Linked DNA regions of Struthio camelus. The protein of the gene in region 3 interacts with the protein of the main gene of each other region in a biochemical or structural test. Links are inferred from orthologs where the notes say so. Each region holds a gene or a part of one and is shown on either strand. Other genes may lie near its edges. The genes, in order: EIF4EBP1, ATR, ATM and RBBP8.

Region 1 (7,244 bases), on a different chromosome or scaffold from region 3:
TAGAGGCTAGCGTTCTCTGGGATTTTCATCGTACCTCCTTTCAACAATAGTCATTCCACATCTGACCTGAAGGCAGAGCCTGCAGTTGGGCCTTAGAAGAGTGAGTTGTCTTCATATAGGTTGAGGAGGGACTAAACGTACCAAGAGAGTCACGAGAGCTCTGTGGATTTTGCCAGATGTGCACACCCTAACAACAAACACAATCCATATTTCTACTTCACACTCTAGACATTCATTAACCATTTCCAACACAGACAAACAGATGATAATCCTGGAGGCTCTCATTATGCTACAGAGCAGTGCAAGTGTTCAACTTCTATTCTGTTACTTAGAGCACATGAATACAGCTGGGAAGCATTAACTCTAATTCTCCTTTCATGACAATTGCTGCAAGTCCTACTTAAGAATTTCAGCTAGTTGCTGCTTTCAGAGAAAAAGCATGTGTCAAAAATAACACTAGCTTCAGTTCCCCAAACTTTTCTGCATAAACTCAAAAAAGAAATGAGTCAGCAATGTTGACTTCCCTCTTCTTCCTGAATTTTTTCAGCCCACAAAATATTATAGGCTATAAAGATCAGTAGGTCAGAAAGTTTAGCAAAGTGACATCTACTGCCTTCCATTTAGTTTGCTCCTTTGACAAACTCAAGTACAGTGAGCTTCATTATTCCTGCTGTTTGCACTGATCTTTTATGTAGCAGCACAGGGAGAAAATTTTCAAATGTATGGAAAAAGTGATCTCGAACCACTGCTCAGCAGGGGACTCGGACAGCTGTCAGAGTCAGAAATACCCACAGCTGATTTGGGGCACAGTGTCATCATCTGGAACAACAGTCACTTGTCTCACAAGAGACAAACTACACAAACTAAACAAGAAATTCAAGGAGGCTGTGCTGACACAAACTCTTTGAGATGGGTAGGCCCTTTAGAAAATTTTGCACATTATGTTCTTTCTCTAGTATACTGAGATAAAAAACCACATTAGATATAGCATATAGCACATTAGATAAACACTAAGTTTACAGCTCTTGTACTTCCACTGCACTTGCCTTCTGAACAGAGGGCAAACATGGGCTAGTTTTCAGAATCAGTTTATTCTCAGTTAGCTACAAATGACTGAAGATGCAGATCCCTGAAGGACACCATTCCTAGTAATCACACACAACACAACTAGGGGGGCTGCACAAGATGACTTGTAGCAATGAAAGAGGGAGAAAATTCACTTATTTTTTGCAGTAGAGGAGCATAGCATTTTCAGAAAGAGAGGCACAGCACTCCAGAGGAGCAAAAAAATTCCACAAGGCACCAGGCTGTACTTAATCATTGCCAGAAGAAACCACAAATATCAGAGATTAGAATTAATAAGTAACCCAAATTGGAGAATGACTCTACTCCCTACAAGGCTACTCACAAAAAACAGCCTTGTTTATCAAGGCAGACACACAGGTGGATGCTATTTCACTGCAGCAGTATCAGGATTCCTTTTCATTTTTGAAAGTGTAAAATCCTGCTGGCTCCCTTGTTCTCTTTGATGGTGCAGCAGCCAGCAGAGGCCAAACTCCCAGACCCCTGGGCACCCCACACTTCCTCACGTGGCACCCCCTCCTGCAGCTTTCTGTGAGGCTGCCAGGTGAGATGGGGTGGGATGGCAAACAGTAACCCCCACCCCACGGTTGCCCCTCAGAAGAGCCCCCCACTCAGCTGCATCCAGCCTGCTCCTCAGGGATCAGCCCAGCTGTGCTGGCCCACTGAGCCAGCCCCAGTCCAGGAACTGGGGGGGGGAAGACCCTGCACTAGGTCCCCCCACCAACACACAGGGCTCCGGGGCCCCCTGCCAAAATGAGAGCTCCCACTGCTAAGCCAAAACAAGACAAAACAAGAAGGCCTGGGCACCCCCAGAGACCCTCCTGCCCAAAAAGGGCCACTCCCCACAGACCACCTGCAAATCAGAGTGCCCTGACAGGGCAAGAGTCCCCCCATAACACCCCCTATGTCCCCACATCAGGGCAAGAGCCCACACATCCCCTTCTTTCCCCCCTACATTGGGGCAAGAGCCCCACCCCCATAACATCCCAGCAGGGCAAGAGCCCCCTCACATACCCCTGTACCTACCCCCCACATTGGGGCAAGAGCCCCCACATTGGGGTAAAAGCTCCCTCCATAACAACCCAGCAGGGCAAGAACCCCCCACATATCCCTGTACCCCCTTGCACTAGGGCAAGGGCTCTCCATACACCCCTCCATACTGCCCAAAAGAACAAGAGGCCCCCTATAACCATCCCCTCCCCACAACTCTCCCCTCCCCCAACTTCCCCCCAGCAGGGCAAGAGGGCCCCTATACCCTCCCCAACGAGGTGAGAGGTTCCCCCCCCCAAACCAGGGCTCCATGTCAGGGCAAGAGCTCCCCCATATCCTCTCTGCTAGGGAAAAAGCCCCCCACGACCCCGTGCTCAGGCAAGGGCCCCCCCAGCCCCCATACCCTTCACCAAAGGGGCTCCCCCTCCAAACATCCCCCCATCGAAGTGAGAGGCTCCCCATATCCTCTCCGCTGGGAAAAAAGCCCCCCTAAAACCCTCCTCACCGAGGAAAAAGCCCCCCACGACCCCGTGCTCGGGCAAGGGCCTCCCCCCCAATCTCCCCCCAGGGAAGTGAACCCCCCCCCCCCGCTCCCAGGATCCCCGGCCCCTCACGAGAAGCGAGCCCACCGCCCCCCCGAACAGGCCGCCAGCCCCGCGGTGCCCCAGGGCCCGGCCGCGGCCCTACCGCCCGGCGTGGTCCCGAAGACGGTGCCCCCCGGCGTGGTGCTGTAGGCGCCGGGCGGCAGCGCGGCGCCGTCGGGCAGCGGGAGGCGCTTGCCGGGGCCCGGGATGTCGCGGCTCGGCGTCTGCCCCGGGCAGCAGCGGCCCGACATGGCGACGGGCCCGGGGGGGGGGGGGGCTGCTCCTGCCGCCGCCGCCGCCGCGCCTGGGGCCGGCCGCGCCCTGCCCCGCCTCGTCCCGCCCCTTCCGCCGCGCGCACGTCCCTTCCGCCGCGCGGCACGCCGGGAAAAGACCGCCGGGGGCGGGGCCGAAGCGCCGGGGGCGGGGCCGAAGCGCCGGGGGCGGGGCCGCCGCGGCCACGCCTCGCGGGGACCCTCCCCTCGCCCCGCCCCTCAGTCCCGCGGGTCCACGTGCAGCGCCCGGACCCGGCACGGCCCTGGGGGGGCACCCGGGCCCCCTGCTCCCCCCGTGGGTGCACCGACCCTGCTCCCCCGTAGGTGCACCCAGCCCCTGGTCCCCCGTGGGTGCCCCCAGCCCCTGCTCCCCCGTGGCTTCACTGAACCCCTGCTTCCCCGTGGGTGCACCTGGACCCTACTCCCCCTGTGGGGTGCCCCCAGCCCCCTGCTCCCCCCATGGGTGCCCCCAGCCCTTGTTCCCCCGTGGGTGCTCTCTGCTCCCCATGGGTGCCCCCAGCCCATTGCCCTCTGCCCTGCTCCCCCTCGATGCCCCCTGCTGCCCCCCACCCTGACCCCCGTGGGGGGCACAGCCCCTGCTGTCCCCGGGGCCGTCCCCCGGCTGTGACCCCAGCCCGCCCCATGGGACAGCCCGCCCAGGGTGGCCGCAGATGTCCCAGCCCCGCGGCGGGGGGGCCGCAGGGTGCCGGGCCCCGTCCCAAAGGGCTCTTCCCCGGGCCCACCGCGGCTCGAGGCCACCGGCAGAGCCTCCTGCCGGCCCGTCTGCAGCCCACCGCCCCCTGCGCTTCGTTCCCCCTCCGGGGCGCCGGCATGAGGCCCGCCAGGACCCGGGGGCTCCCTGGAGGGTGCGTAACGCGGCGTTCGTTACCGCACCGGGAAGCCTGACAAACGGGTGTGTTACATGTGAGCTGGGACATGAATGGTGTTTGCAAAGCAAGGAGGCCGAGGCAGGAGAGCCGGGAGCATCCCGGAGAGCCGGGAGCATCCCGGAGGTGGGAGAGCCGGGAGCATCCCGGAGAGCTGGGAGCATCCCGGAGAGCTGGGAGCATCCCGGAGGTGGGAGAGCCGGGAGCATCCCGGAGGTGGGAGAGCCGGGAGCATCCTGGAGAGCCGGGAGCATCCCGGAGAGCTGGGAGCATCCTGGAGAGCCGGGAGCATCCCGGAGAGCTGGGAGCATCCCGGAGAGCTGGGAGCATCCCGGAGGTGGGAGAGCCGGGAGCATCCCGGAGGTGGGAGAGCCGGGAGCATCCCGGAGAGCCGGGAGCATCCCGGAGGTGGGAGAGCCGGGAGCATCCTGGAGAGCCGGGAGCATCCCGGAGGTGGGAGAGCCGGGAGCATCCCGGAGAGCTGGGAGCATCCCGGAGGCCAGAGAGCCGGGAGCATCCCAGTGCCGGCGCCGGCTGCTCCGGGCCGATGCTGACACCTGCTGATGGCCGAGGAGAACGGGAAGGCTGCACCGTTTTCCCGTCCTCAGGCAGCATCCTGCCTGCGCAAAGCACCTCTCGGAAAACCCTGGCGAACCCCGAGGACGGTGCCGGGCCCGACGGATGGAGCTGGGCTCCCGTGCGCCAGAGCCTGGTGCAGGGCCGCGGCCGGACGCCGCCGAACCGGCCCCGCGCCCCGCGATAGCCCTCGCTGCAGCGGTCCCTCCTCCGTCCCCCTCGCCGGGCGCGGGACCCCCCGTGGGAACGGGCCGAGACAGAGCGCCGCAGCCGCAGCCCCTCGCCCGCCGCCGGCCGGGGGCCCTTCCCGCCGGGCCAGCTGCTGGTTCGATTACCGGGAGCCGGGGCAGGAAAGCCACACATCCGGCGGCGTGGGCTGACATCAGCGCTGCCCCCCAGCCCGGCGAGCCCGCTCGCTCTGGAATAGCCCGGCCCGGCCCTTTCCTCCTCCTCCTCCTCCTCCTCCTTTGGGCGGTGAATAGCCCATTAAGGGGTCAAGGAGCCGGGGCAGGTCAGGCTCCAAGGGCACATCCTGGCCGGGATGCTGAATCCCGGCCCGACGGATGCCTCTGGCCGGCGCTCCCGGGGGACGCCCGCACGGACGGCGCCGGAGCGGGGCAGGACGGGCTGCAGCAGCCAACGCGGAGAAAGCCCTGGTGGGCGCTCGGGGGCGGCGGGAAGCCCCCCCGGCGGGCGTCCTACCCGGCTGCGAGCCGGCAGACGGGGGAACGTCGTCGTTACCTGCCTGCTCCCGAAAGCCTGTCTGGGCAGGGGCAGGTTTATCCCAAGGAGCCGCGCAGGAGCTGTGCCCCCCCAGCCCTGCTGAAAGGCCCCTGGGGCGCAGGGCTTCCGGCAAGGCCCTTCCGACTGTCCGGCTCTCAGCGAGACGGGCGCTGGCACCTGCTGAAAGCCAGCCGTCGCTGGGTCCTGGCCGTGCGAAAACCCGGCCCTCTCCGGCCTGTGAAGACACAGCTTTTCCAGGCCGCATGCATGAAAAATGCATGCAGAAATCTATCAGAGAGGTTTAAAAATAGCATTTAGGCGGCGGGAGCTCAAGGAAGCGCTGGAAGGGCCGTGGGCAGAGCCGGGCAGCGCCAGAGAGCTCGCGCTCGCTGCGAACCGAGGATGTAGCTGCTCTGCTGCGTTCCCCGCGCTTCGGAAAGCTCCAGGCCGTGCTTGGGGAAGGCGACGCTATCCTGGGCTGCCAGCAACGTCCTTCCTGGACGGCGCCGATAAAATCTCTGTTGCTGGAGAGACGTCCCCCGAAACGGGCTGGCACCGGGCGAGCGGGCCGGGAACGCGCGGCCCCGAGCCCTAACAATGGCCTTTCCTCTTCATTCATCTCCGTCTCTCATTTCCCACGCGGGCTGGGGATAAAAAAGAGAGGGACGGAAGAAAGGGAAACCACCTGGCCCCGGGGCCGGGGAACAAGCAGCCCCGGGCAATAAATCAGCGATGTTTCTGCGGGCGACGGGAGACGTCGTGTAATCCGGCGTTGGGCAATAGGGCGTTTCTGGGTGGGTCAGCGCAAAACGGGGAGACAGCACAAAACCGGCACCGAGAAAAGGGCTCTGGCGGCAGGTTTTGGAGGGGGAGAAGCACGGGGACCGCGGCACCTTCACAGCGTCCCCGGGGTGCTGGCGGCCGGGGCCGGCCGGAGGTGCCGGTTTTAGGGGGCCGGGAGAGCAGGGCAGAAACGGCGGATGCGATGTAGGCGGACCCGGGCGCTTCTCCCTTCTCCCCGTCCGCTCGGGGGACGCGCAGCGGCTGGCGGCCCAGGGAGGGAAGGGCTCCCTGGGGCGCGGGAAACCCCGCCGCCCCCCCGCTGCCGCCCGGCCCGGGCTCTTCTGCCGGCAGGAGATCCCCAGATAGCCCCAGATTTAATAAAAAATGACCTCGGGGAGCCGGCGGGCGCTTTCGTGGGCACTGCCGGCACGGCCCCTCCTGCCTGCCTCCGCGCGGCCCCGGCAGCGTGAGCGCCTTCGCTGCTGAACCGGCTGATTGAAACAGCTTTAGGCGAACGGCCGGGAGCAGGCGCCCGGCGGCGGCCATCCGCCTTACGGGGCCTGGGCAGCGCCTCTCGCCAGTCGCCAAATATTGCTGTGCGTGCTTTTAGGTGCTTAGCTTTAAATGCTTTATTTTAGTCTTTGTTTATGTGTTTATATTTGGATATTTATATGCTTGCATTTGATCATTTATTTATATATTTATGTTTGGATATTTGTATATTTGCATTTGGATATTTGTATATTTATATTTTTAAACGTACATTTGCACAGCTGCGTGTATACGCGTGCAGCCATACGGCGTGATTTGCCAGGGAAGCCGAGCTGCGGGCGGCCGGGCCGGGGCGATGGCAGGGCGCCGAGCGCTTCCGCCGCCGTGTTTACGCGCCCTCGATGGCTGCCGCAGATAACGGCAAACGCGCGTCCCGCCGCCGCCCCGGAGCTGCCTGCGCAGATAAACGCGGCCCCGTAAACAACCCCATCCTGCGGGAAGCGCCCGCCGCCCCGGCCCTGCCCGCCTCGGCGCGCGCCGCAGCCGCCGTCGTCCCGTCGGGGCCCGGTGGCCCCAGGCCCCTCGGTGCACAGTGGCTGTTGTCCCCTCGGTGCACAGCGGTGGCTGTCATCCCCTCGGTGCACAGTGGTCACGCAGCCACGCACCAGTGGTGCATCAGTGGTGCACAGCAGCCACGTCGTCCCCTTGGTGCACGCTGACCCCAGGCCCCTCGGTGCACAGCAGCTGCGTTGTCCCCTTGGTGCACGGTGGCTGCAGTCCCCTCCATGCACAGTGGTGGCCATTGTCCCCTCGGTGCACGGCGGCTGCGGTCCCCTCGGTGCACGCTGGTGGCC
Region 2 (7,995 bases), on a different chromosome or scaffold from region 3:
AAATCTCCTTGCGATAAAGGCATCTAGGCTTGATAAACAGAATGCCTTCACAGAGACAGGAAACCTCTTTGAAGAAGAGGGAAAGTGGGGGAAAAAAAGGGCACAACAACAACAACAAAAAGATTTCAGGCTAAGTATCATTTCATCTACATTTTCCGCATATTTAAAAAAGACTTAGGAAATGACTATGGGTTCAGGATGACTATGGGTTCCTTTCCAACAGGAACTGGACAGTATCTTAATGACTACACAACAGTAATGAATAAGGTCAGACTCTGTCCTGGTATATATCTCGACAAGTTTCCATTATCACAAGTGCAAATCAATTTACAGTTATAAAAGGATATCGTAAGATTAACTTATAAACATGAAGTGCTGAACTTGCAAGAGAACAAAAACGGGGAAAAGGGAGATTTGCATGATCCACGGGCAGAAAATTTAAATCACGTAAATACCAAATTTCAACATAAAATTTTTCAACCAACTCACCAATGCAACTGCATTCAGTTTCCTCCTGATTTCCATCCATGTTTACAAACATAAGAGGGGAAGATTTCATGATATGTTGAATAAAATCAAGCAGCATTACAGAACTTGGCTGTGAATCAGATTTCTTAATAAGCTCCAAAGCAACTGAAAAAAGAAAGGCAGATTTCTGAATTAGTACCATGACACAGCAACTTCACAGATTTTGTTCATACTTAACAGGGAAAGAAGAAAATTATTACATAAAATATTATTATGTGGTATTAAATCTGTAGAGTTATCAGTTAGGAGTGCTTTATAAATTTGCAAAGCACAAGATTTTTAATGTTGTGAGCATATATACTCATACGCCTCTGCACTTCACATAGTTACTTCTTCTAACAGTTATACATTTGACTCACATTACTTCATATCACATCAGCAAAGACTTTATCGTATAGATTATTTTAAGTAAGTCATAATAGTCATTCAGCTATTAAATTTTTGTTGAAATTGTAACTCATATATAACTTATTTTTAGCAGGAATTACATAAAGGAAAAAACAACAACAACCCAAAACAGATGATCATTTTAAAAGCAAGAGGTGCAATGCTTACCAACATCTACATCTGTAAGAATTCTGTCAATGAACTGGCAGAGTATTTGCCTCGGTTTCTGCACAACGGAATTGTATTCTTCTGGATTAGCACTAAAATTAAAAATACAAAATAACTATTTAAAGTGTATCTCAGCAACACAGTGTTAAACACTGAAAGTGGTACTTTTTACTTCTAGAAGACTTCAAAGAGAAATACAAATTGATTCCCCTTTTCAGTGACCAATATATTGTCTGCTTCTCTTTTTCCTCATTTTTCAAAAGAATGAAGTTTTATGATGTGCTGAAGATCATTAAATTTTTGGCTATGCAGTTATGCTTGATATATATTAAATCTATCTCCGACTCATTAAGGGATTTATACACACTACTCCAAAGCAACAGAACAGTTTTGGTACAGAAAAATAAAATTAGGAACCTATTTTAATTTTAGAGTTGCCAAAATTATTCAGCTGACTAGCTGTCAGTACGCAAGGTAAGAGGTATCGACTGCAGCAGCTCTGACAACTAAGATACCAGCTGACGCTGCCAGGTCAAATCTTCAGCATACACTTGTATCTCCACAGCCATTAGTTGCCTACCACAATCACAGCTACAGTTTTTTAGCTTTGCAGATTGCTGCCATTACCACTTTAGAGCCAAACATTGATCTCTGTATAGATGGCCCTGATACAGGCCCCAATTGTGAAAAGCTTGTATGCCAGTTTAGTGTTTGCAGCTTTAATGAACTGAGCTGGACAAGAGCAATTTTTGATGTGTGAGGGCATGTGTAGCAAATAACTGTAGTCTCAGGGTTAAGTAGGTTCACTTCCCCTGATGCAATGAAGATCGCAGCTAGGATAGGGACACTTGCAAAGCACAGTTTGGATTGCTTCAGTGAAGGCTGCAGACTGGATTGCAGCAGGCTTACAGAAAACTCAGACATCCACCTATTTAAGTAGGCTATCTTTCCTGTAACCTGAACGACAACAAACCAAGATGTTCTCTGTACACATGTTTAACCAACCAGCCACAAAAGGTCAAGAACACCTTTGATCAGGGCATTACCTCAAGAAGCAAGGGATCCAAGTTCCAACTCTGCCACAATCTCCCCCCTCCCTGACATAAAGATGGAGTCCGTTTTGGCATCTGCACAACCGGTGCTCATGCTACTCTTTTGCTTTATGTGGTTGTTATAAAGCACTCAACTACTGCACTAAAGGGAATGTAAGACATTCAGGTACTGCAGAAAGGAGTTTTCCATAGCTTAAAAAAAAATGAAGGAACAAATGGAACAAAGAAGGCTGTTCCAGTCATGCCATCATCCCGAGGGACCTTCTGGAGTGCATGCCTCAAACACGGACGTTTAACATCTCACTTTCAACTCTTCTAACTGAGCAGCAGCGAATGACGATTACAATTTACAACTTCCAGATGCAGTTCTGACTAGAGGAGCTTTAAACTAGTAAGGCGTCTAATCGAGTAGCGCAAAGCACGCTAGAGAGGACTAACAGATGCTTTAAGGTCTTTCAATTCTCAGCGAAACCCCGCTGGAAGCACAACAGAACAGCCCTCCCCAGGAGGCCGGGCGCTACGCCCGGGCAGCCCAACGGGGCCCACCCGCCCGGCTGCACCCCGGGCTGAGGGGTCGGGTCGGGGCAGGCCCGGCCCCGCGAGGCCTCCCTCGGCGGTGGGGAAAGAACCTACTTTCTCCACTTCCCCACAGCCACCCGCTCCCCCCAAGCCCTCCCGCCTAGGAGGGGCCGGCGGACGCGGCTGCGGGGCCGGGCGCGCCCTACCTGGCCAGCTCCCGCAGGGCCGGGATCATGGAGGCCATCTCCAGGCCCTGCTCGGCCATGGCTCCCGCTTTGAAACGCGCGGCGCGGCGCGGCGGCGGCACCCGGCGGACGGCGGCCGGTAGGGCTCAGAACACCGCCGTTCTCGTGCGGGCCGGTTCTCTGCCCGCTGCCCCTCCTCCCTCGCGCGGCTGAAATTTTAACCGCTTCGTCACCAGCAGAAAGCCCCGCGGGGGGGGGTGGGGGGGGGAAGGGGGTCAGGTCAGGTTTTTAGCGGCCTCTCAGGGGAGGGCAGCAGGGCGCTCCTCGCCGTCGCAGCGCTCAAAGTGGTAAAAACAGAAAGGGGGCAAGCGTACAGCGGGGGGGGGGGGGGGAGGAATACCGCCAGCCATGAGTGGAGCCTGTCACAGGGGCGCTGAGGAGGGAACCTCGGTGCCCCTCGGGCGGAGGCCCCGCCGCCAACGGCCGCCTGCCCCGCCCGCCCGCACCCGCGGCTGCTAATTCCGCCAACGGCGAGACTGTTTTATCGGGTCACGGGAAACGGCGCCGCCGCAGCCCGCCCCGGCGTTGGCCCTGGGCGCTGCCGCCCCGCCCCGCCCCGGCGGCGGCAGGTGGCGGCGGGGACGCGGCAGCAGGAGCAGCAGGTAGGGAGCGGCTGCCGGTGCCGGTACCGGTGCCTGGCCCGGGGTTTGGGGCCCGGCGCCGGGCCTGGGGGGTGGGACGGGACGGGACGAGGCGGGAGGGAGGGCGCAGCCTGGCCGTGCGGGGTCTTGGCGCCCGCCGGCTCTGTGCCGCTCCGCGTAGCTAGCAGCAGGAAGGATATTTAAAATATAGTGGTTATTTTTTATTTGTCAGTGTGCGTTACTTTCCGTTCGTGTTCTTTTGAGGGGACAAAGGTATTTGAACGCATAAATGCTTTAAAGAAAAACCCTAAAAGCGTTGTGCAATGTACTTAAAGTAGCCTGCTTTCTTACGCTACAGGAAAAATTAAATGCGTGCTTTAGTAGCAGTCCTGGGATGTAATGGTGATTGTCACTGTATGGCCCATACGTGGGAGCCCTGCCCACGCAGCAAGTCTGTGAGACCTCGGAACGTGAGAGGATACAAAAAGCGTTCTTGTGTGTAGATACTAGTAGCAGGAAGAGTACTTAAGGGCAAATTGAAGTCTGAGCTTTGCTTTTCTGATTCAGAAGCATAATACTTTCTGCATTTGTTTCTGAACTGCTTAGCATTGTTTCTGGGCTGAAATAAAATCCTCTCAGAGGCTTGTAATTCTGTTGCCTGTTTCCACTGCACTGTGCCTATATCTTTTGCATGTAAAACAGCCCAGGAAATGAAGTGGATGCATCTGTGTGTTGCTGTTACTGATTCATTGCAGGTGCATGCTTTTAGGGAACCTATTGCTAATTAACTTTTTCAGCTACACCTGGTTATTTTCATCCTACAAAATACCTGTATACGGTTTCATACAAAGTTTTGCTGATCTTTCAAAGATCAAAGAGTACCCTGGTTGCTAACATAGGAAGGAATGAGAATGTTTCAAGAAACGTTGCAAAAAATAATTGAGTTTCATCTTAAATTTTTCAACGCTTCTTGCAATTTTCTCTACCAGCTGACTGTAAAATATTGGCCTTTTGAGATTCATTCCCAGGAGCGAAAACGGTTTACACGTTTTCTTAAGTAGAATTTCAATGATACAGGAAGACAAGGTACGTCTGGGTTTTGTTGTCAATTTTATTTTGAACAGAGAAGTTTCTACACAATTTAAATAAAAATATATACTTCTTGTTAGAACAACAATCTGAGTGTAAACTGCCAATTCTGAGACAGCAATCACTGCATAGAAAGTGTAAATTGCACTACTTGCTAATTTGAAGTAGAATGGAAGTCTCGGTGTCATCCCTGATAAACTTGGGATCCCAACAGATATTTAGCTATCTTTCCTAAGAAGATTTGGAGTAGAATACATACATATTCTTCAGCTTTTAATCCTAAGAAATACAATAAATTTATTGAAGCATAGAGAGATGTTTTTTTGTTTATAAAGAATAAATGGGGCAGACAAAGTGCTTGACAACAACAAATAAGTACTTTTGCCTGGAAGTCTCCCAATTCAACAGTGAGCTCATGCTAATATAGCTATTGCAGAAACACTTTCATTTGGCATAGGTAGAATTCTATAGAAATTTATGTTGCAGTTACTTCAAACGTGTAATTCAGGCTTTTTTGTAGTAAATACTCCCAGCAATTCACTAAAGAGGTGTCTCCTGCTCCCTACCCCTCAGTGGTAGTGAGGCCAGGAGCCTCTGTTCTCTCCCAGTGACAAAGCCTCATGTGCTGCCTTCTGACCATATCATCATGTTCTTCCTGTTACCTTGGTCTTAACAGGACTCTCTAGTGCCCCTAATGACAACTGCATTGTCCCAGGTTCACAGTGTTTGTGCTGTGAAGATAAACGATGTCTTCTCGATGCTCACCTTAAAATATTTTTATGGGCACTCACAAAACCAAAAACACCTAGCTTTGCCCCTTGCTTTTCTTGAACACACAATAAGAAGCTCAGTAAAATTTCAATTCACCTCCGTCTTGTTTCTCCCTCATCTCATTATTTTATACTTTATATGTCTCTGTGTCCTCAGTAGGAGGGGGAGATGTATTATCATCCATCTGGAGAGCGTGCCTCATGACTAAAGAAATTAGTGTGCCTTGAGACTGTTTTGTATCTTCTTTTCCAGTGCAGATCCATATTGGTGAAATAGGTGTGCAGAACTCCCAGCTTACAAAACTCAGGAAAATTCATGCAGGGAGTTAGAGCTAGGTATCAAATGCAGTGTGTACAGTAGTGTCAAGATATCTGCTAAAAATTTCTTCCCCTCCCTCCCCCCCCCCCGCCAACTTGAACAGTCCTCTCACTTCTTGCATGATTCTCCCACACCTAGGCCTGCATCTTCTTTGGCATTGGTTGTTTTTTTTTTTTTCCACGTACCTTCCCAGGGCACTCACTTAAGTTTCATACTCACACTGAGTAACACAGAGTGACTTTGCTTTGGGCCAGCAGGTCCTACACACAAAGGCATGTTGATTCTGCTTTTATTCATTCTGTTGCAATTTAATTCAAAGATAGAGGTGAACGTACTGTTCTTCTTGGGGCTCATCCACTGCGTGGATGTGTGAGAGATGGTGCCTGTTAATAAGACTGCAGTTAAATCTCAGCTGTCCCTTGTCAGTAGACACAAGTGATTTACGATGACCTAAAGGCACCTGTGTATTTCTTGATGTCTTCATGAACCGTGAAATACAAACATTGTACAGGCTGATACGGTGGTCAGAGGAAGTTCAGCCAAGATGGTGCAGTGAGCTCCTCTGAACTGTACTAAGTGGTTTTATGTAATATCAAGGTGTGCTTATGGTTTTTCACTTGCATGGTTGCTGTAATAATACCCAATGGTCTGTATGATTACTTGAAAACTTATTTCCATATATAGTCATGAAAGTGCTTGTCAGAGTAGTTGACTGACCTTTGAACGTGTTGAATTGTTCCTGTACACCATAAAAACGTATATTCCGGAAGGCTATGTTTTTGTCTATGCCTGTGTCGCCTAGTCAACTTGGCTAGAGGGAAGAGGCACAAGTCAAAATAATATTCAGTCCGGAATATTGGTTTGATGATTTTAAAAAAAAAAAAAAAAAAAAAAAAAGAATAGTGAAAAGTTGAAATAGTAAATGTCAGTAAGGGCCATTCACCAGCTGGCATCCTGAAAGCAGGAATATATAAATTCAACCACTAGGCAAAAACTGACAGGTGAAAGAGGGGACAAAAGTGAGGAAAGAAAGAAAATATATAAAACTGTTTTTTAACACCCCCTTTCACTCTATGTTATCCACATAGGTCCTAGTCTTGCAAACACTTATCCACATATTTTTAATATGAATAATCCTGCTTACGTACTTAAGACTATTCATGAAGTAAAATTAAACATTTGAGTAATTCAGAGAGATAGTGTGTTAGATTATATGTTCTTTGGGAACCTGGCATTATTATTTGTATAGTAGCAGCCACTGTTTTTTGCTTATGCACAGACGCTACTGATAAAAAGTAGTTGCCTGTATATATATCTCTGTTATTTATGGTTTTTGCTTTCTAGTAGAAGAATATTACTCTTCAGGTTAGCAGCTTTGGAGTAAACTCATAGGAATTTATTTATTACCGGGACTAGTGTTACAAAGTCAAGACTTTCCTGAGTTGATAATTCTGGAATAAAACTAAGATGCTTGGAATCTACTTCCTTAAGGCAAAACTTTCAAAATTTTAAATGCTGATTAAAAAAAGTATTCCATAACTAGGGAATGTGATTGACAATAATGACTCCTTGGGAAAAATGTTTGCGTGGTTTCATAGGCTCACGCAAAACTCTGTGCTAGTCATGGCAGGAGAAAACTGTGCAGTGTTTTAATTTAAAATGTCATTTAAACTAAATTTGTTTGAAAGTTCTAGCTGTTTTAATTACAAAGGTTCTTCTTTTTATTAAGAACAAATTCTTAAAATCCGAATAACTGTGCTAGCTATTTTCATAGTAAAAATTTGTTGTTTTCCTATAAAGCTTTCATGAGAGGAGAAATAATTTTCTATCTGATTCTATGTTTCACACTGCTCAAGACTAGAATAGAGTTTAGGCTTGGTAATATTGATAAAAGATGTCCAGGCTATTGCTAAATGCGAGAGTTCTCTAATTTTCTTTCCGTGGCTCACTGTAGAAACCGATGAAATGGAAGGAGAAAGGGTAGTCACAGGTTTTTGTCCTTCTATTGCCTTTGTTAGAAGCCAAATAAATTAAGCCAATGTATGCATGTTGTAGCATTATTTTCCCAGTAGGGTATGGTTTTTTTTGTGTGTGTTTTCCCAGTATTTAAGACTTCTACTACTCCAAGGGATTTGTATCAATGGGATGGATATCACCTTTGCAGCACATGATAGGAAAATGTCTAAACTAAAAAGGTTGTACCCATATCCTTATCCTTTAATGCTCATATAAAGTCTAAGTCTGTGACGTTAGTGGCCTCCCTAGCGCTAGCTAATTAAAGAAAATATTTTCGTAGAGTTCACCGGGACATGTGAAAAGCTTCACACCCTCGATAAT
Region 3 (7,489 bases):
TTCCACACACTTTCAATATTGTGGACAAAATCCCAGACTACATGATTGAGTGGTACGTTAGAAGAATGGAATGCAAAACGGGAAGAAGATACACATACAAATATCAAAAGTTTGATATATAGCAATATCCAAAACCTATAATTTTGTTACTAACTAAAAAAATCTCAGGTCATATATGCTGAAAGTGCAAAGCATCAAGTTGTCCTGTAGTTATATGCACCTATCTACGTACGCAGCTGCACGTTGTATTTATACCCATGCCCAAAGTTCCACGTTTCATCTGGCACAAAGCAGATCATACTGATTAAAGGGGAAGCTGAATCAAAACATAGCTGTTTTCACCAATTTTTGACACGCTCAAATAAAGCTGAGGCACCTTACCTAAATTAGTATTTACATGAAAGAGAACATTACCGACTGCTGTATCTAAAAAAAAAGGAAGTGATCTTCAATAAATCACTAGAGCAATCCTGAAATCAATTAAAATGCTTGGAACACCCTTGTATATATCAATCTTGAAAACAATGAAGCAGACTAAATGTAACATGCTGAACACAATTGGCATATTTTCCTCTTAACTATTTATTAGTAATGTTAAATATTGAAAGATGCTGAGAAATAGAGATGACCATCAAACTAAACAGCTTAAGCACCATTTGAGAAGCAACTGTTACACTGTTCATATGTATTCTGAAAAAAACTCTGAAAACTCTTTTTGGGGGGAAAAAAAGGCTTCTCTTCCGCGGCTGTAACACAATTTAACTTGCTGTGTTACAAATACAAACTCACCAGCAAGCAGGCCGGAATAAACCCATCCTCTGTACAGTGCTCTGCATATTCTTTCAAATCTGAGCTTTCCAAAATAAATTCACGGCAGGTAGCTAAAAGCTTTTCCTGTTGTAAATACCCTGCAATAAATCAGACAGAAGACTTTGCTATTTTATTCATTATTTCTGCATGTTGTGCTTGGTAGGTATTGAAGCATTAATACGACCAACTATATGATATAACGTTGGAACAATTAGATAAGGATTCATGCATTAGATAAGGAAACTGAAGTCATTATGAAAGAACACCTATCTTGCAACGTATTCCTTTAATAGTTAAAACCAGAAAGAGCACATATTATTAACATTGTACTGGATTTACAAACTGTTCAAGACTAGAAGTGAGACAATATGAACAATTTCTGACTGATCGTTAGTACACATAGCACTGTACAGACAAGAAAGAAAATATCAACTTCTTAAGTCAGGAATAAACTCACACATGGGTTTTGATTATAAACATCTAGTTTTATAAACAAATAGAATTCTATAGTACTGTATTAATAAAATGCATTGCTGTGCAGCAATAACTCTCCATAAATTCTCCAGCTTCAGAACAGGTAGAACATATGCATCGTTAAGACAGCGCATTAGATTTCTTCCAAAAATGACATTATATAAAAATTATTTTTACAAAATCAGTATTTTGTTTTTCTACTTACCGTAATTTTCATTTTTAATAGGTATTCTAGTGTACACTTGTACACTTTATATACCCTACCCCAAGACTCAGTAGTTATCTTACCAGGAACTATACTGAAAAAGTTCACTTTTTCAAAATCCCAGTCCTCAGTTAATATGCTCTTTTAAGGTATTTTAAATCCCGCTTTAATCTTCAAATAGTCTAAACGCTAAAAGGTAAAGCTAGATCAATCTGAGTAAAGGATTACAGAACAAAAGAGCCATAAAACAAAATATCGTGCCTTTTCTTTCTTATCTGTAGCAGAACTGCATACGCAATCGTTTAAAGAGTTAAAATACACATACCTAATCATATTCACACAGAACCCCAAAACAGCCTGCCTCAGTTCAGGAAAGTCCATAGAAAAATCCTGCCTTTAAGTTCACATGAAGACATAATATCTTTTATCAGATCCAAGCATAGCTAGAAAAAGTAGATCAGCTTTCACACTCACAGGCCTCCGACAAATAAACTTCAAAGTTAAACACAGTTTGAGAATAACTGCTGAGAGTTTCATTAGGATGTACGAGCTAGCCCATATGGGACAAAATGTAGTTGGCACCTGCGGAATAGAGAGGGCTGCCATATTTAATGTTTCAAATACATTTTGTTAGAAAATCCTCAAACCACAAATTGCTAGAAGCTGAGGGCACACTGGGGGAAATACACCTACATGCCAGTCTTATGCCTGTCTGCTGTACCATCCATTGCTGACCAGTATTACAGACAGGGCATTAAGCTAGATGGGAGTTCGACTGTAAGAACAGCCATACCAGCACAGATCAAACCCATCTTCTGGATCTTTGCTAAAAAACAGTTGCAATTTCTTTCTTGAGCCTCCTATTGCGAAGGATGACTGAATGCCAGCACACAGGCCTATTTGGCACATACATCAATTTCCTGCAGATAACGGCGACTGAACTTAAATTGTCTGTGCACGTACATTACAATAACAGAATCATATACAACCTTCAACATTACCAAAAACAAGTTAGAGGCACAAAAGGAAGAGTGCCTGCTGAACTAGAAAGTATTCAACATTTTGTTCTATCTTAATATATGTGAAGACCTATGGTCTACCTTACAGTACTCATTCACTCTTTACCTAGAAAACGATAAATTTGCTTATGCCTTTTTCTACAGGCAAGCTCATCTTACCATTTTAGTTCTGTTTCTTAAATCAATACTCATCAACACTCACAGCACCAAAAAGACTTTGCTAGAGAAAAACAAAAAAAAAAAAAGGAAGAGGAACTGCGCTAGGAAGCCTGTTGATCTGCTCAGAATTCAGATGCCTCAGAGAGGAGCAATCGCTATTAGAAGACAAAAATAACTGTTAAGAATATCCTGTTCTACAATCTTGGGTTGCTCAGAGATTTTCTAGGACTACTGCATGCACTACGCCACAACAGACGCAAGATAGGACGGAGCATCCTCAATACACGCGAAACGTTCAAAATTTTTATTCTATCTACAAGTCTCTACGCAGCACGTGAGATAAACTGTTTACTAAGAAACTTACAACTTAACCAAAATTTTATCGAAAAGTATAGCAAGTAAATGGCCAAAAAGAGATATCCCGCGCCAAATTGTAAGTGTTCTTTTACAATGCACAGAATTTGAAAAAAATCCTATTACTTTGCAATAATAAAAACAATGTTTCTGTTGTTACGCTCAGTTCTCGAAAAGCAACAACAAACGTTTCAGGTAGCGTTTAAAAATAAATAGAACTGCAGACAGACGAAAGAAAAGATTCAGCCTCACTGGTTTTTGACTGGCAAAATCTGCCCAGGCTGTCTGTGCACCTGAAAACAGCATCTTGCTATGAAAACTGCCAGGAAATCTTAGCGACCTGGACCAGTACCTGCTGACAGCGTACCTATTACATATAGGGGTCCTACTTCCAATCCACGGCCACTTGCTCTCATCTTTGGCTGTGACCAAACATTGCAAGCGTAAAGTCTTTTTAGCAGTTTATCCTCCCTGCTGTCAAGGTCCTGAAAACACTTGTTTTATGCTTCCCACGGACGCAGCGCGCACCACAGAAGGGAGTTCTCGATCTGACCTCGCGGCTCACGGAAACAGGGAAAGAAAAACCAGCTGAACCCTCACCTGTTCTCATCTGGCCTCTTGGACCACCGGGATTGGTGCTGAGAGCAGAGGCTCCCCCCAGTCTCGCCCACCAGCCCCCGCCCGCACAAGGAGGCGGCAGAGCCCACCGGCCTTCCCGGGAGTCACCTCAGCGCCGCTCCCGGGCGGCTCCCGACGCAGCACCCGCCCGAGCACAACGTGGCGCCTCCACCTGCCCCGCCGCTGCCTTCGCGGGGGCCGAAAGCCGCCGGCGAACCGGCCGCGCTCCCCGCTAAAAGCGGGGCCCAAGGCCGCCCGACCGCCCCGGGGCGGCCCAGGCACTGCGCCTCGCCGCGGACACGGGTGACATCCCCGGCGGCGGGCGGCCACGGCCCGGCGCCGGCCGAGGCTCAAGGGCGCAGCGGCTGCCTCCGCGCGCCTGCCGCCCCGAGCGCCCTGTCAGCGGCCGGCGGAGCCCCCTCCTCGCTTCTCCTCGCCTCTCCCCTCCCCTCGCCCTGCGCGGCCGCGGTCGCGGCCGCCTCCGCGGGCCCGGCGGTGCCCGCCCCGCCCGCGCGCACTCACCCAGCACCAGCCGGGCCACGTCGGACGGCAGCAGCATGACCCGCGGCGCGGAGGGGCAGGCGGCGCGGGCGCGGCGAACGCGGCCCCCCGAGGCGCGGCGCGGCCGCCCCGCCACCCAGGGCAAGGCGCGGAAACTCCGCCAGCCAGCGCCCCGCCCGGCCCCTTCCGCCGGAACCCGCCGCCGCGCATCCGCTTCCAGGTCCGCCGCTGCCGCCGCCCACACGTGCGCTGCGCTGCGCTCCTCTCCTCTCCTCTCCTCTCCTCTCCTCGCCCGCCGCCGCCGCCGCGAGGGGGGCGCGCGCCGCCGCCGGCCGTTAAGCCGCCGCCGCGCGCCCGCGCTGCGCTGCGCTCCCCTGACGCCGCTCAGAGGTGGGCCTGCTCCTGCCCGTCCGTGCCCTCCCGATGCCTGCCCCCGCCCCGGCTGAGGGGCTGCTCGAGGCGCGGTCCCCGCGCGGGTGCTGAGGGGCGGCCCGCGCGGCGGGTGGCGGGCGGCGGGGAGGCAGCGGGCGGCGGCGGCGGCCCGGCGCTCGCCTGGCGGCGGGCTGGGGTGGTCGGCTGTGGTTACCCGCGAGGTGGCGGTTGGGCCGCTGTAGCGTAGCTCGGTGAGGAGCGCTCGGTGCGTGTCTGCTGTTTTTAAAGGGCTCCTTCCTTGTCCCACTTGTCCCAGGTATTTTTTTTTTTTTTTGAAAGGGGATGAGTGCCGTCATGATTTGGTAGTTGGCGACTGGGCTGCAAAGAGAAACGGCAAGTGCGTACAGTGTTAGGAACTTGTCACTGTTGTTGTCATGGTAGTTAAAATACCTTTAAATGCCAGTAAAAGAAGACGCGGCCCTCTTTCTTCTTGAGCCCCAGTCCCTACAACATACAACCCCGTGTTGCCACAGTTCTCAGTCAACCCTTAATTTTTCATCCCATCAATGTTTTAGAAGCCTTTAGCATGTGAAATGTTGTTTCTTGCTTTCGGTTATTTTCGGCATAAGTAGCAAGTTAGTAGAGGAATGCTTCCTTGCTTAACTGAGCTTAGTTGTACGCCAGAGCAGGCCTTTCAAGCTTGCCATAGGTTCCTTTTCCTCAATACCTAACTAGCCACCATCCCTTTCTGGTCATGTTTACTCAGCTCCATTTCCGTGTTGACTGTCTCCATCCATCTTAGCTGCTAGCTGCCACTACTACATGGTGGTGCCTTAACGTTGTGTTTCACGGTTGTCTTGAGTTCTCAGTTCTGGTCACCTTTAAGACACAGATTTACAAGGAAGAGAACAGGAAGGTGGGCACATGAATATGTGACAGGAAAAAGGCCATTCAAGTCGTGATGTTCCCATAAATCCTAGCACTGTGATAAGATGGAAAGATGATCTTAGGGGATTAAAGACAGAGGTTCGAACTCTTCTAGAGGAACAAGAGCTCTCAATATTCAGAGTTTTATGCACAGGACTATCTGTCAAGTTTGACCTTTTGTCAAAGAACGTGCTCAGTATTTTTTTTTCCTGTGATGCGCTGTATAGATGGCATAAACGTCAAACATTTGAAATCTGCTGTTTTGTTTTTGCTTTGGGAAGGGTATATGTCAGGGACCCCTGCCCCTGGTTATTCCACAGATTGGTCAACTCTTCTGTCCTTTTTCTCCTCACCTCGGTTTTTAATGCGGTCAAAGTAATCACGTGGATTATAAAGCAGTCAAAATAATTTGCTATTAAAATGTGGTTTCCAGACATATATGAAGAAACCCATTTGTCTCAGCGTGATCTCTGTTGAATCCAAAGAAGATGAAAGCAAGATGATGTTTGTATAAGACGGTAGATCTTTAAAGTTTTAACTGCCTTATTCAGCTAAATGGTTATTTATATATTCTTACTTAAGTGTTCCGGGGCCAGTGATGTGCATCATGTATGCCAGTTCTCAGCTTCATACTGCAGCTTCAGCAGCATATGCTTGGTGTTACTTCCAGCATGTCCATCTCTGTTTTTCAGATAAGAGTTTGTCCTGAGGCTAGTTTAAGGGAAAGGGTACAAGGAGAAGCATGGACGCTGCATACAATTTCATTGTCATGATCTGCGTCAACATAATTTTCTGGAAACCAGAAATGTAAGGTTGATCTGATTCGGACGTATGTTAAAAGAGGTAGGGCATAATCTTAAGTAGTAATAGAAGCAAAAAAGTATTTTTCTCCTGTCGTTGATATTTGAGCATCTTGTGGTATTTGGAGTCCAGAGGCATTTGTAAATATAATGGTGCATAGCTGTATAATAGAGAAGGTTAGAGTGGAAGAAAGTTTTATTTTCAAAGAGCTGCCTTTTCCTCATCAGGTTAAAAGTGCTTCTGATAACTGCTATGTCCTGAAAGTTAGTGCTGTTTGCCTGATTAAAATGACATAGAGCCGAGTGTGTTCTCATTACCGTTCATGTTTCAGTCTGTATTGTCTCATCGACTCTCTGCTCTTTCATTAGCCTTAAAAAGAAGGAAGTCAGTCATGTGAAAGGACCCTTTTCTGTTTTTGTCCACAACTACTGCTCTTCGGAATAGATTGCATTCTTGACATGACACTTTCTACTTCTGTCTTGTGAGCAATAGCACCAACCCAGAGAGGAATGAGCTTTTGAGTGAAGTAAAGCTGTTGTATTTGACATGGAAATGCAATATATTGAAAATTCAAAATTTTGAACTGATTGACTTGGCTCTGTGTTAAATAAAATAATTTATTTCATCCTTTTTTTCTGTTTGCAGATGCAAATGACTGTCCTGTTAAACTGAACCATGAGTCTTGTGTTACATGATCTGCTCGTTTGTTGCCGTCACCTTGAGAATGATAAAGCTACAGAGCGAAGGGTAATAAGGTTTCTTCTGGTATATATCATTCTCAATGAAGGGAATGATTAATAACCTTTTTTTTCCTGAAATACATTTTCAGAAAGAAATTGAAAATTTCAAGCGACTGCTCCGTGATTCTGAAACAGTTCTCCAACTGGACCGGAATTCTGATTCTAAACAAGCAAAGCAACTCAGCTGGGATGCTGTATTTGGGTAGGTTCTTTTACTGTCCAGAGCAAAGCATTTTTCTTCTTTTTTTTTTTTTTTTGGTGAAAGGTCATGTTTCTTGCATGGAACATCACTATTTTGTTTATCAGGCTTATTTAAATGCTTATCTTCCTGCGGATTGATTGAGGCTTCTTGTCAGTCAAGAAATGACTTATGTTACTCTCTAAAAGAAATAAATCTAAAATAGCCAAATAATGCATCAATCATCTGAGTACAACACTTTCCACTTACAGAAGATGCAGGGGCACACAGCACGTTGTAAATGTACAAACACTAGAACCGTCTCCTGAGA
Region 4 (8,062 bases), on a different chromosome or scaffold from region 3:
TCTTGGCGACTGGACCATTTGCTAGCAAATCAGCTACTGATTGAATTTATTTTGTAAGAGTACTGCAGTGTTGCACAGATAAAATAACCCCCCCCCCTTTTTTTTGGTAGCGCAGAGGCTGCATTAGTGTTTCTAACCAGTCAGATAACGGTAAGTACAAACAAAGTAGCTTTAAAAGAGAATAGTGGATAGCTTGAATTTTTTTGCTGCTACTACCTTAAATTTAGATGCGAAGATTAAAGCCAGCTTTGAATGGCAATTATCATTGTACTTACACAATGATAAATAAATTGCTCTTTTCCTGCATATATATGTAATAGTGAAACCCTTATTTATTCACATAACATATAGCAGATTGCACATATATGTACATGCCAGTGTGTTCACAACCTCCCTGTCATGCAGGATCTGCATTGAGAGATAAATATATTGATTAATCTCTAGGAATGTTCATTTCATGAACTTCATGTTGTAGCTGCCACTAAGGACATCACATGAGCCCAGCTTCATATGTAGTGAGTGAGAGCATGCAACACGTTTCAGCAGCTACCTACGTGGAATTTCAACTAGGAGTGTAGAAAGTGGCAGTCCTCTGAATGGTATCATTTCTTAAAACTGGGAGAGCACACAGCACACAATCTGTCTGGCACTGATAGCATTTGCTTTTTCCGGAAGAATAGGGAGGAGCTACTCCATCACCCCCACGAGTTGAATTTGAGTCTTCTCAAGCAACTTGCATAGCCACTTTTGAACTCAAGCCAAGGGCAAATTCCCTGATGCCAATAACATTGTTCACTGTAAGGAACCCTTTTCTTTGAAGTGCTTACACCGCTCCTCATCTGTAGTCTGAAACAGCTGGGATTTGCTTGGCTGGAACTCTCAGGTCCTTTAGAGAGGCTTGATGGAGGGGAAAAAAGCAACCCGAGGGATGCTGTTTCAGGACTTCAGTGTAGCGTTCCTGGTCCTCCAAGGACGGTAGATTCTAAGGAGCAGCGCCTGTTTATGTTAGCTACAGACTGAAATGGTTTGCTCTTACCAATATTACTTGGGTTTATATGAATAGGCTGAGTAGTTATGCCTATTTATATTAGCCTTGGAAGTCTATTTCAGGCTTGGAAGACTGAAGTAAAAATTTGCACATCTGTATATCATGCCACCTACTTCTTGCTATAGCGAGCGACAAGAATTCAGAACGGGAGAACAAGCAAAACAGAATAGCAGTTGGGAAATGGTATTTTACTTACCTTTACCTTTTGGGGAAAAAAATCCCTAAACAATGGCCTCTGCCCCAAAGAAAAAGCAATCAGGCAAGAACCCAAATAAAATGGAGCACAAAAATTGCTAAGGCAGAGGGTGGCAAGCAGTATTTTAAAAAATGATGTATTTCATTTGAATTTTAAAAATTGTACAGTGTTCCAATTCTATAGCTTTAGCAAAGAGAGCTCTCTCGGAGCATTTTATGGTCTCTACAGAGTGTCCCTGGTCAAACCATACAGTTCAGCCACTTACAGTTTTTCCTTTTGAGAATGGTGTATTCCTTAGTCTAAGTAAATTTTAATCCCATATTTGATAGTAAAATCAACAGAGATGCTAAGAATTAAATGCTTTTTCCTGATGCATATTTTTAGCCTCTGTGAGAGCGCAAGACTTCCCCTGTGTTGTTTTCCATTCTTTTACACTTTGAAGAACGGTTTTAACTAACAGATAAAGTGCAGCCAGCAAGAAGGTCATTTCAGTCTCTCATTCATTTTTTTAAGCTGCTCAGGAGGCCTTTTTATTGGCAATCTACAAAAGAATAATAATGTTCATTTTTGCATCAACCTGGAAATAGCAGGCAGTAAACACCTCCATAATTGAAGCTTCCTGTTGTGTGACTTCCATAAATTCTTACATAATCTTGCATATATCTACACGTATCTAGTGGTTTATGTCCACTAGGGCAGGAATTATTTTTTTACCTCATGAAAGAGAACTGTGATTGTGTCACTTAAAGAGAGACTAAAATAACATTTCCAGGGAGATGGAAGCGGCTATATGAGTTTTCAAGAACGTAGTTACACAGAGGGTGAGAAGATTCAGATTTACTTCAGTTAAAGAGTTATTTTGTCCTAACAGGCATGACAAAACCTGTCTTCATTCCTTTCTATTCAGCTCAGCAAGTACTTCTGTGCTGCAGTAGTTAATCAGTTACCAGATTCCACAGCTTTTGTTTTCACACTGTTTAATTTTTCTTTTTTGACACTGTACCTGTGAATGGTTTCAGTTGCAGATCCAGGTACAACTTTCAGGGCTGCCTGCTCTTTTGGATTAAGACTCTTTTTTATTATAATTGCTACCACCGTTACTTATTACATTCTAAACAGGAAGTTTCTAATAAATATATAGAAAGAAAGCAGTTAAGAATGACAAATACATTTCCTATATTGCTGTTAAGTCAATTTTGAAAATGTAAATCGAGTTTAGTTAACCCACTCCATAAAACTACACAATTAAAAAAAAAAATGTTGGTCCAGCAAGTATTAGTTATCACACATATTACTGTAATGGCACTGTGCTTTTTCACAGCAGTGCTATTATGGGATTATAAAAAACACTATAAAAGAGAAGACCGAGAAGGATAAGCTAACTTAACTGACCAACTCAAAATACTAAGTCATTGGCAGTGGAGTTTCCATCTCACACTCCTGTGCTGAGTTCATTAAACTGTCTCTCCAGTAAATATTCTTGAAGACAGAGCAGATGATGTTGAGCTGCGTGCAGAATGGTCAAAAGCTGCAGTCGCAAAAATGTCAACAAGCGCCACAGAGGCTGGCAGTACCCAGACACATTAAGGAGATAGCCATTCTCCCACTTCAAGCATAGAATAAAATTTTTGCTTTAGTTTATCTTAAGTTAATTTTAAAGAAAGACTTTCAAAACTCACCCTTCTGTTTGAATTGTGAAAAGTTCTGTTCTTGATCGGGGTGATAAATATTTACTATTGACTTCCCCTCCAGCTATAAACCTCAAGTGTAAGTAAGATGAGGAAGCCACTGTGGACCACACTAGAGAGTGCCGAGAGGAGATCTGCTGCACCTAAGATATATACAATGTGCAATGGATAACCTAATATGCCTTTCATTTAACTGGCTGGGCAGGTTTCTGCATTCTGGAGAGCATGGAATCATACCAGAATTTGTTGGCATAACAGGCCTGTCAGACCGGTTCCCCGGGCGCCCGGGAACCTGCCCAACCAGTCTGCATCAAAGGCCAGCCCAACATGCTGCAGCTCAGCTCAGCTCAGCTCAAGGAAGGCTTCATACGCGGTGAATTATTCATGCCTTTGTCAACTCTCAACATACTACTCAGATAGAATGATGTAGCCTCCAGCAAAATAATTTACCAAGGGGTGGGGGAGTGATATATCCTTGTTAAGTATAGCAAGATCTTATTGTTATAAGCTTTCTTTCATTTTATATGCAGATGCACTGGGCTAGAGGTCTTGCTCAGCATAAATGCAGAGGGAAATGGGAACAAAAAATGTCTTTTTTTATATATCACTAATCATGCAGACTTCTTAAAATCAGATAACCCCAAATGTTTAGTGCAATTAGCTAAGAGAAAAATTAAGTGCCAGTCCTCCTATAAGTGTGAGAGAATACCCTGTGTATAGGATATCGCATAGCTTTGTTACATGTGGGGAGACAGCCAGTGTAATCTTGCCCGGCATTACTGCATTACCACACAGGATATTTGAACGTGAAACGGGTCAGAGAATATGGAGTATACGGGACATGCTTCCATAACCATGAACTGCTTGTGAAGCAGTGCTCTCCTCCTGTGAAGGATACAGCAGCTGCCCTAGCACATGGGTTGCAGCAGCAGCTGCGCTGCTTCTTACTCATGTCTGGGGGGCAAGAATACTTGCACATCAGTCCTGCCTATAGCATATTTATTCAAGGTGTAGACAGAGATCAGGATCTCTGCCCCAACAGAATCCTGCATCTGTATAAACTTACTGCTTTCTTTCAAATACAAATATAGACCATAATTTTCAGCTCTCATGCTGTGATTGTTGGGGTTATTGACTAAAATCAGTAGGAGCTGTGGATGTTTAGCACTTTTGGAAAAGTGCATAAAACTAGCCTGCTAAATCTATGCTTAGGTTCCTTTAGCTTTTATTTAGCCACCTAAATTTAAACACTCAGGCTTAGAAAAGATTAGCTCCGTTCAGTATTGTCTAAGACTGACTAACTTTAGAAAGTTGTGTTTGTTCGTTAAGCAATCCCACTGTGGTATCATCTATCCTTCTTTTGATCTTCATGTCTTATTTATCCATTTTAATAATAGCTACTAGATGACTAGTGGTCAGAACAGGAACTTAGCGTCCACTTTAACCAGCCTTGTGCAACATAATGAGTGGTTTTTCATCATTGACCAGAAAAGCTAACAGAAGAAACACTAATATCTGCGTATGCTGTATTCAGACTATTTTACTACAGGAAAGTAACATTTCTTGTAAGATTATATTTTATGTTGGCCTTTAGTGGAAGGCTTAATTCTAAAGAAGGCAACTGGATTACTAACTGAGCTGAAATGACAGATGTATACTGTTTGTGCTTGCACATACACCACCTTAGGCTATGATTTCATACAGCTAAGCAGGGCTGGGCTTGGTCAGTACTTGGATAAGAGATTTACAAGAAAGTCCGTTGCAGGAAGTGGCTTTGGTGATTCAGTGTGCTGTACTAAATAACTGAGCGTCAAAGCCAAATGTGATGGAGACACTGGGTTCTGGACATGTCATAGATTTGGTGTCCTAAAATGGATTTGATTAAAGACTCCAAAACCCTTTCCATAGACAACACATTTTGAACTGTAAATCCTTGTCCAATGTGAATATAGTTTGTCTGGAAACACTGCCTTCAATTTCTTTTTGAGTGTTGCATAATTGGAATTGCCTAGCTCATTGATGTAGGTAAATCACAAACCAAAACAGCTGATAAATGACATACAACGTAGAGAAGGTGCTGCTTGCGTAGCAGACTAAAGAAGGGCTGATGTGCTTGAAAGCTTGTCTACTCCTCCCAGCCATGTCAGCTAGTCTCATAAAAGATACTGTCTTCGAAATTTTGCTCCTGTATGCTGAACTCATGGCAACAACATGAAGACTGAGGAAAGTACATTTTTACTGTTTTTAAATGGACAGAATAAAAGGCAGATTTCTTGATACTCTCTCTCTAGATTAAACCTGGAGCCACACAGTGAGTCTAATAGTTGGCTTTTAAAACACCCTGGGCTTGTTATTTAACTGCTTGCTAGAGTCTGAGGAGTGTGGGGATAAGAGATCTTTACTATCTCTTCCTTTGATTTGGTAGCTTAAAGGAAAATTTGAACACCTTTCCCCCGCTCCAGCCTCTTGCTCCCCCAACCCAAACCATGCTCATTACACATTCCGTATGGACTTCTCATATAAGGTTGCTGGCAGGGTTGAGGTGTAGAGGTCTTAAATTAAGCTTTTACATTCACTTCCACACATTATAGAAATTTAATTTTTCGGAAGTACAAGAGCAAAGGTGTAGGAGAACAAGGCCGTTGTATGTATAAGTGCGCTGCTGGATAAACATCACTTAACTGTTATTCTCAGCCTTGTAATGTTTGGCAGTTCTAAAAATACATATACCACAGTAATGAATGTTACAGTGTCAGACTTGCTCAGAATTCTCTGTGACAGAGATTGTTTTTCCTCCTCAGGAAGGCAGTATAATTATCTGAAGTACAGAAATCCAAACCCTCTCTTATTTCAGGTATAATTTGCAATAAGGTGATACTATAGATAAATGCTCTTTCAAATTAAACCTATTATTCAATGCTTTTCCAATTGAAAATAAAATAAATTATAAATTATCAACTCCAGCTTCAGTCAATAAAAGTTACATAATGCCTCTCTGTAAAGTCTTCTAATTTATACAATGTTCACATAAAATCTTGAAGGGAAGAGGCTCAGAGATGTGCAATTCTGAAAAGTAAGACGATCTAAATGGTGCAGGCTTTGACTTGTCCTTATAGTAAAGGTATGCACAAACATTCATGTCTACAAGTATTCATTACAGAGAGTTTACAGCATACCTCCCTGTAACTATCAAAAGCTGCTCAGTACTTTCAGAAACAAATTCAGATAACACACATGCCCCACACCCCTATCAGAGTTAGGTAATATCTCCCTCCTCTTGACTGGTTGTGTAGCAGCGTTAAGGACAGTGAGACTGTTGGTTCATGAAGAGCAACTTGAAAAATAGGCCAAGTCCTACTTTGAGTAGAGGAGGTAGTACTTCATCTCTGGCCTAGAGGCTACCTAGAGAAAGATGCCTTGAGGTGAGTCAAAGGATGCAAGCTAAAGCATTTTTTGATTCTTTTCTTTGCAAGAACAGGTTTAGAATTTGTTGCTACTAATTTGCTGCTGATGACAATTTCTCAAGTTTTACCTAAGCTGAGACTGAAGGGCTGGGCATTGGCAGAGCATCAAAAAAGGATTACAACAAGAGAACTATCACTAGTCTCACTACAAGAGCAAACTTTATAATATAAAGACTTGGCTATTTTACCCTGAAAGGAAAAAGACTTAAAATGCTTTTTTTTTTTTCTTTCCTGGGTGTCTATCTGGCTCTTTCTCCTCTGTTTTTAACAGTTGGTGCAGTTCAGTCATTCAAGAGAGGAAATCAGTTTTGTGAACTTTTGGGTGTACCGAGGTCTCCCCATGGGCTATTGCGCTACAGGAATGTTGCGAGGGAATTGTTGTGAGAAAAGAATTAATTCCTAGGAAATTCCAGCATTCCTTTCAGCTGTCAGAGAGGAGGAAGAAAAAAAGGAAATACAAAAAGAAAGTAGCAGAAGCTCTTCAAACCATTAGATTGGAATTGTTACTCTGGAATGAGACTGCATAAATAGCTAGAACCTCCAATTTTGTGTAATTCAAAGAAGAGATCCTTAAAAACAATATTTTCCAGCAATCTTTATGTAAGAGTGTTCGGTTAGTGCTTATTGCAAAAAAGTCTGCCACAGCCTGAGGTATCAGCATCTCTTTTAATTGGATTTTCTTCTTGTCTATCATCTGTATTTGACCAGGTCTGAATTACTATTCTGCAGCATTCCAGCTAATCCTCCTGTAGATATTTAGGAGCACTTTGCCTTTTTTTTTCTGGAGATTAATCTCTACAGGAAAATGAGTATTTCTTATCAAAATCATAAATCAGGATCCAGAACATCAGATATCTGTTTTTTTCAACCTGATTAGTAAATACTTTTATACTATTTACCTCCTTTTTCGGATAACACTATATAAAGAAACATGCTGCCTATATATCCCCTATATCAGGGACCTCACAGTTAGCTTTTCCCATGCTGAAATGAGATATTTTATTTCTCCATTTTGTTTTCTACCTCCTCACTTTTTTTAAACATGAGAACTACTTTCCCATCTCATGGTGATTTAGCTTGTACTTAGAGCCTCTTCTGCAGTCCTTTGTCAAAGACTTTAGAAAATCCAAGTAAATTATCAACCTCTTCTCATTTATCTGCTGTTTTGCTAGTATACCAAATAGTTTTAATGAGGAGTTACAGTTTTCCATTGCAGGAACCTCCTAGCATATTAAGTTTCTCTTTGTGCTTTGAATTGCTAAATTTAATTATAGTTTAAATCACGCTGTTACTGAAGAAAGACTAACTAAAATGTCTCAGGATTACGCATTAGGTCTCTTTTTAGAAGAATATATGTTTGTTGCTCTCTTGTTCTTTGAGTATTAGTGAGAAATATTTGATATTAGTGAGAAAATATCTTTTTGGTTTGAAACTTGATATTAGTGAGAAAATATCCTTTTGTTAGCAACTTGAAATGCCACTTGGTTATTAAGCTTCTTCAGAATTCAGAACATCAAGAGAAACCCAACCATCCTTGTGCTCTGTTACTTCAGTTCAGCAGTTTCTTCTAGCATTTTCTCTTCCAATACCTAAAGCCTTGCCAGTCTCTCATTTTTCTAGTACCTAGAAACAGTATGTGTAGGAGAGAATAAGGAAAATGCTAGAT

Evidence for each region.
Region 1: of the proteins of ATM (region 3) and EIF4EBP1, one has a biochemical effect on the other in vitro, tested with the Homo sapiens proteins (2 studies listed by BioGRID, with this or other methods). The link is inferred for Struthio camelus from reciprocal best matches to the Homo sapiens genes ATM and EIF4EBP1.
Region 2: of the proteins of ATM (region 3) and ATR, one has a biochemical effect on the other in vitro, tested with the Homo sapiens proteins (2 studies listed by BioGRID, with this or other methods). The link is inferred for Struthio camelus from reciprocal best matches to the Homo sapiens genes ATM and ATR.
Region 4: of the proteins of ATM (region 3) and RBBP8, one has a biochemical effect on the other in vitro, tested with the Homo sapiens proteins (4 studies listed by BioGRID, with this or other methods). The link is inferred for Struthio camelus from reciprocal best matches to the Homo sapiens genes ATM and RBBP8.

The regions. Positions count from the first base shown.
Region 1 is NC_090968.1:7,033,073-7,040,316, reverse strand, and holds the start of EIF4EBP1 (eukaryotic translation initiation factor 4E-binding protein 1), read right to left. Parts: upstream 3,014-7,244; 5' UTR 2,909-3,013; coding exon 2,761-2,908; intron 1-2,760. UniProt on the Homo sapiens protein: Repressor of translation initiation that regulates EIF4E activity by preventing its assembly into the eIF4F complex: hypophosphorylated form competes with EIF4G1/EIF4G3 and strongly binds to EIF4E, leading to repress translation.
Region 2 is NC_090950.1:15,508,455-15,516,449, forward strand, and holds the start of ATR (serine/threonine-protein kinase ATR), read right to left. Parts: upstream 3,033-7,995; 5' UTR 2,920-3,032; coding exon 2,861-2,919; intron 1,176-2,860; coding exon 1,084-1,175; intron 634-1,083; coding exon 490-633; intron 1-489. UniProt on the Homo sapiens protein: Serine/threonine protein kinase which activates checkpoint signaling upon genotoxic stresses such as ionizing radiation (IR), ultraviolet light (UV), or DNA replication stalling, thereby acting as a DNA damage sensor.
Region 3 is NC_090942.1:205,615,905-205,623,393, reverse strand, and holds the start of ATM (serine-protein kinase ATM), read left to right. Parts: upstream 1-4,390; 5' UTR 4,391-4,530; intron 4,531-6,153; exon of another isoform or gene 6,154-6,282; intron 6,283-6,885; 5' UTR 6,886-6,915; coding exon 6,916-6,987; intron 6,988-7,069; coding exon 7,070-7,182; intron 7,183-7,489. Other genes in the region: protein NPAT, read right to left, coding at 790-908, 4,162-4,198.
Region 4 is NC_090943.1:120,909,389-120,917,450, reverse strand, and holds the start of RBBP8 (DNA endonuclease RBBP8), read right to left. Parts: upstream 3,099-8,062; 5' UTR 2,924-3,098; intron 1-2,923. UniProt on the Homo sapiens protein: Endonuclease that cooperates with the MRE11-RAD50-NBN (MRN) complex in DNA-end resection, the first step of double-strand break (DSB) repair through the homologous recombination (HR) pathway.